Xenopus tropicalis: one gene and its partner. The protein of the gene in region 1 interacts with the protein of each later gene in a biochemical or structural test. Links are inferred from orthologs where the notes say so. Each region holds a gene or a part of one and is shown in the gene's direction. Other genes may lie near its edges.

What was found.
Region 2: of the proteins of map3k1 (region 1) and chuk, one has a biochemical effect on the other in vitro, tested with the Homo sapiens proteins (3 studies listed by BioGRID). The link is inferred for Xenopus tropicalis from reciprocal best matches to the Homo sapiens genes MAP3K1 and CHUK.

The regions. Positions count from the first base shown.
Region 1 is NC_030677.2:190,914,194-190,916,906, reverse strand, and holds part of map3k1 (mitogen-activated protein kinase kinase kinase 1), read left to right. Parts: intron 1-98; coding exon 99-230; intron 231-1,186; coding exon 1,187-1,336; 3' UTR 1,337-2,713. UniProt on the Homo sapiens protein: Component of a protein kinase signal transduction cascade. Activates the ERK and JNK kinase pathways by phosphorylation of MAP2K1 and MAP2K4. May phosphorylate the MAPK8/JNK1 kinase.
Region 2 is NC_030683.2:110,582,593-110,586,255, reverse strand, and holds part of chuk (inhibitor of nuclear factor kappa-B kinase subunit alpha), read left to right. Parts: intron 1-609; coding exon 610-724; intron 725-1,444; coding exon 1,445-1,514; intron 1,515-3,372; coding exon 3,373-3,461; intron 3,462-3,559; coding exon 3,560-3,649; intron 3,650-3,663.

The DNA.
Region 1 (2,713 bases):
ATAGTTGGTGTAAAATATATATATTAATAAAATATATAGTTTGGTAATATATAGTTGAATCCTATAAAAAGAATATGATTTTTCCCCGATTCATGTAGGTGCTGAGAGGGCAACAGTATGGAAGAAGCTGTGATGTGTGGAGTCTTGGCTGCAGCATAATAGAGATGGCATGTGCTAAACCTCCATGGAATGCAGAGAAGCACTCTAACCATCTTGCACTTATATTCAAGGTAATAAAATGCATATGGGAAATGTTAATAAGATGTAATGATAGGTTAATATCATACCTGGTGTTTTCTCCACTGTTGGTTTTACCTTTTGCATTTTTGGATGAAATATGCCTTGTGTGAGCATTTACAAGTGCCATTGTAATCAGTTTTTATAAATAAAGATAGCACGTCAGCCTTAAGCATGCCATACACTGCAAGATGCTTTTGTTTGAGGAAGCTGCCAAATGAGGGTATCTGAGCCCAATATGGCCACCCACACACTGGGCCAAATTGGGCTGTTGATCATATAGAGGGGCCTACTGACCCACAGAATAAAGACCACATCAACTCGACTATTCTTGCCTGGTAAATATTTGGCTGAATTCCAGCCACATATTGATCAGACAGGCCCATCTGTGGGCCTCATACATGGGTCAATAAGCTGTTGACTTAGTCTGGAAGGCCATACACTAAAAGATCAGCTTGTTTGGCATCCTCAACAAAGGAACAGATCTTTCACCGGTACGTCCACCTTGAGCAATATTGGTTTGCGGCATAAGGACCGCATTAACATCTGGATGATTATTGGCCAGATATCAGTTGGGTAGGCCTGTCTCTGTTCCTGTGGTGCAGTGGTATTATGGAAGGTGCTAGAATTGGTTAAGCTAGATTTTCAGACTGTACCCTGCCAACCCCAGCAGTGTGCTCAAGGTTTTATGATATTTTCCACTGATTTATTCAAACAATTGGAATTGTAATGGTAATCAACTGAAGGTTTAGCTGTGAGCTTTGTTGCTGACTGCTTGCTATAGGCTAAAAAACCTCAGCTGCATCCCTACCTTGGACTCTCCAGCAGCTATAAAAAGTAATGGTGCTTATTGTGGCTTTATCCTTATCTTGTTGAGAATGTATTTCCATAGTAAGCCAGGCCTGCCCCCTTTCCTGCTAGCTCATAGTTCATTTTTTTTTTTTTGCAGATTGCAAGTGCTACAACGGCCCCAACGATCCCACCACACCTCTCTCCAGGATTACGGGATGTAACCCTCCGATGTCTGGAGCTCCAGCCCCAAGATAGACCACCATCCCGAGAACTACTGAAGCACCCGGTCTTTCGAACAAAGTGGTAGAGAAATACGTGGCAGAGAACTTCCCGGTTGTTAGTGACTGAGAGGACAGGAAACTTATTGCTGTAGAACAATACTGTCTTCTAAGCCATAAGTATACTGCTGTGCAGATCCCCAGCCTGTGCGTGACATTCAGGATCTCTAAAGCTTGAGAGTATGGAGATTTAAATCTCTCTAACAAGATTTATATAAAATATATATATTACTATGTTTTATAAAAAAGTGCCTTTTTGGAAACCCGCTCTCCAGATTAGATAAGTGGTTGCATGGCCAGAAGTGGTCGCGGTTTTCCAAAATCTATACAAATTGAATTTTGTAGCCCCACAAAGAAAACTTGTGCAACTTTTTTATCCCACATGTGACATTGTGGCACACGCAGTATATTTGTAACAAAATAGTGTTCTTCGGGTGTCTATGAAGCTCTCCTCAAAGACTCTGTCTTTCATAGTGTCATGTGACAAAGACGGCCGAGGAACTGCCTTTTCTCTCCACGTGTGGGAAAACAGTACAAACGGCCATAATATTGCAATGTGTAAATACTGTCTACACTGTATTCTTCCACTGTCGTACCCCGTGGGATGATCAGCATCTTCACACCTGTATTCCTTTTCCTCATTTTAAAGTTAAATCATTTCATGTGTAATGAAAAGAGTATTTTTGTACTATATTATAGGACCACCACTTATGTACAGTAGGTGTCAGAGGTCTAAATCCACTACCATAAACTGATTATTTCAACTTTTATCCAGATTGGATTCTAGTTTGTTTCCAATAGGATTCCAGTATTTTTACTAAATGATGGCAACAAAAGTTTGTATTTAGTGACCATCAAACTGCCCCAGTATCTGCTACTTTTGCTATCTGCCTTGATCATCGCTGCAGCACTCTCTGGTATTGATCTCTGCAGGTTTATGCAGAATTTCAAAGAGATTTTCATGTGAGGTTTTGCTTTTTTTTTCCCCCAAAGACGCTCATTGGTGTTGGGGTAAATGGGGAGGGAAAGCCCTACATGGCAGCGCTTCAGGCAGAATACAGCTTCAGTGGATATTTAGGAGCATGAAAGCTCTTCCATGCCACTTTAAGCCATATTGGATGCAGACACTGTTCTATATTGCTCTTCAGTGGCTGCGGTCACTTTAGGTTTTACTTTGAATGAAAAGCACTTGTATTGTGAAGATCTCCACTGCATGTTCGACTTTTCCCAGTGGTATAACTATAGAGGGGGGCAGGCAAAGGCAGGAACAGGGGGCTTGCGAGGGTAGTTGTGGGTACCCTGTGATGCACCGGTAATTGACCCCTAATTTTGTCCAGGGGGAAGGGACCCAAAAAAAGCCTCAGAGGATTCCTTCCTGACTGCTCCCTTTAGAAATTATGAAATCA
Region 2 (3,663 bases), on another chromosome or scaffold:
CCCTGTATACCCCATTAATTTCCCCACTGAGACTGAGAGCAGAAGTACAATGTGGGAGCTTGACACAGTTTGATTTTAGAAGGTGCTCTCTCAATGCAGCGTAATAACAATTATTCAGAATTGTTTGTGAATTTATATTATCGTCACATATATAGTTATATAAAGGATCTCCTCAGTACAAACCCTGGCCATCCAAAACTATGGCTAGTGAGGCTACAATTTTATTGCTATTTGTTACTTTTTATTACTTATCTTTCTATTCAGTCTATGTGATGCAGCAGTTATAACTTTGAAGGTTTCCTATTTTTACTGTTATATATATATGAATAGCACTCAATAGTAAGAAATCCAAGTCCGGCTTGAGACTCCTCCAGTTACATGGGAGTAGGAGAAACAATAGGTTAGCTGAAAGCAGTTCTAATGTGTAGCGCTGGCTCCTTCTGAAAGCTCAGACTCAGGCACAATGCACTGAGATGGTGCCTACACACCAATATTACAGCCAAAAAAATACATTTGTTGGTTCAAGAATAAAATATTAAATGGTAGAATTAATTATTTGTTATGTAAAATCATGACAGAATCCCATTAAACCTCTTTCTTTCTAATTAGGTTAAATCATCCAAATGTTGTGAAAGCTTGTGAAGTTCCACCGGAGATGGATTTCCTTGTTAATGACGTCCCTCACCTAGCCATGGAATACTGTGCTGGAGGGGATTTGCGAAAGGTGAGCCATGTCACAATATAGTCATTTATCTCTAGCACTTACAATACTGATGCCCATATTAATTCTAAATGTAAGAGCTACATTTTTTTCATTGTTGGTTCAGTTTTTAAGACATATATTTACAGCATATTGGGGTGGTCCGCAGGTACCTGAGTGCATGCTCGTATTCCCCCCACCTCCTGAACTTAAAAGTAATTTTTTTCCCCTGACATGGGTGATCTGCCTCCCGAGTAATGTCACTTCTGCCTACTGGTAATGTCTTGGTGGTTCTGACTCTTGAAACAATGTAACACAAGGCAGCAGACTGACAGACCTCTCTTGCTGGAGGAGACTGACCTTTGCAACATTGTTAAGAAAAACTAGGAGTAAAGCAAATGCTGCTTTCAATAGCAATTACATTTACAAACAACTTTTAAAGCATTACAAATTTTCAATAAATTCATACTGAAAAGTAGAATTATATTTTCTTTTAGTGCAGGGAGTTGTTGTAATGAGAGACTGAATGAAATATATATACAAGATGGGACGCATTAGCTGCATTTATTGGCAGGTCACTACTATTTTAACCCATAACAATTGGCTTGTATGTTAGAATTTGTACCAGGTGTAGAATGTGGCATAACCCACTTTGCTGTATGTTAGTTGTTAAAATTAGTGTCACTATAGAATTTTCTACAATTAACATGCGGTAAGTGTTCCTAAGTATTGTATCTTTTTCAGCTTCTAAATAAACCAGAAAACTGCTGTGGTTTGAAGGAAAGTCAAGTGCTAAATTTAATGAGTGACATAGGTGAGTAAAGCAACGTATTCTAAAATGTGTGATGTCCAATCAAATAAAACAACGGCATCAAATTCTGCTGTTGTCTTTTCTTCCTATCACATTTGATTTCTCTGACCTTATTTTGTTTTTAGCCATTATTTTGCACTATTGTGATCTCTACACTGCTGTCGATTGCTTGTTTGTGCTAATCACTTTCCTTACCCAGCATGACTAGTGGCACTGGCATTTCTATCTCTGATCTTACAGTTTTTCTACATAAAATTGTATGTACAAAATGTTCAATTTAGGTCTGCTACATGCACCATAGATAGCTGAAGTGCATGCAACATACTATGGTTATCCCATACATTTTGGTAATTTAACTATTCAGGAGACCCCTAGCATTCATATTTAGTATGTATAATGTTAGTACCATATAACATATGGGAGATAAGATGCAAACATTTCTGAAATTTCATGTTATTATTATTAATATAACTTTATAAAGCATCAACATATTCTGCAGCACTGTAGAATAAGTCAGGTATAGATGCTATTACCCAGAATGCTTAAGGGATCTTTCTGTAATTTGGATCCATATTTCACGTCTGCTAAAAAAACATTTAGGGAATAAACACACTGGGGTACTTGTCACGGCTACTAAGCGCCAGAAAATACCCTGCCATACTGAGAATTGCCTCTGATAAGACAATTATCAGTAAATGATCATTGAGCATTGTCTATTTTTGTAGCCGTGACAAGTAGCTGCTACTACAGTAGTAGCTCTGTGTGTCTTCACCCTTTCATATTAAATAAACCCTGTAGGATTTTTTGTTAGCAATATGGAGTCATGCAGTTTAGTTACCCTCAGGTACAAGATACCTTTTTATCCAACGAGATTTTCAAACCTTGAAGCACAATTTTATATTGAGATTTTCAAACCTGCCAGACGACAGCTAGCTGGGTGATGGAAGGGGCCCATCAGAGGGACCCATACATGGACAGATAAGCTGCCACTTTTAGTTTGAGCAACTTGAAGTTCCTAAGTAAACTAATAGTACAGGTATGGGACCTGTTATCCAGAATGCTTGGACCTGGTGTTCCGGATAAGGGGTCTTTTTGTAATATGGATCACTATTTTAAAAAATTATTTAAACATTAAATAAACCCAATAGGATTGTTTTGTCTAATTTGTCTACCCTGACTGTTATTTGTTTTATATGGCATTTTCTTTGGATATATACAAATATATGGACTTTGGACCGATTATGTTAAATGTTACAGTCCTCCTGCCTTCTACTCCTACAATATAAGCTATTTTTACACAATTCTCATTAGAAAATCCAGCTTGGGACATGCCAGGCAGACTGCAGCAGCTAACCTTTAAGGGCAGGCTGAGATATAGATCGGTACAGCCAATAGCTTTGGGGATTACAACAGTGGGGATGTTGGTTAAAATTGAAGCCCTGTTGTACTACTTTTTGGGTTATTAACATTTGTGCCCCCACAAGCGCCTGTGGCAATCTTGCAACCAATGTTCTCTCTAATATATTGTCGTCTGTTATTGTTTCTTACTTGATCTTTTCTTTTGTTTTCGACTTGGGGGGGATCTGGGGGCAGAATGTATTCCAGTTCAGTTTGAATGCCTTAGTAACTGGGCTAAAGGACCCACACACAGTAACTTAAACAGGGTAAAATAAAACCTTAAAAATATGTTAAATACTGGTAAGTGATAAGAAAATGCAACTTACCACTTTTGTTGTATTCAACTCTGCTTAATATCCATTTAACAGTGCATCTCCTGTTTAAGTATATCCTTCATCCTGTTTCTTTAGCCTACAACAATTCTTGCAGAGAATCAACTGATTTAGGTTTATTATTATCATAGGTTCTGGAATACAATATCTGCATGAGAAGAGGATCATACACAGAGACCTCAAACCAGAAAACATAGTGCTGCAAGAATGTAATGGGAAGGTAGGTTTTTGTGTATAGGTGAAAGCTGCTGAGCTTTGTTCTTTGTGAAAAAATATATATAAATAATAACTATTTGTAATATTTTGTGCTTTTTGTAGACTGTTCACAAAATCATCGACTTGGGATATGCCAAAGACTTAGATCAGGGAAGTCTTTGTACATCCTTTGTAGGAACACTGCAGTACCTGGTATGTTGTTTGCC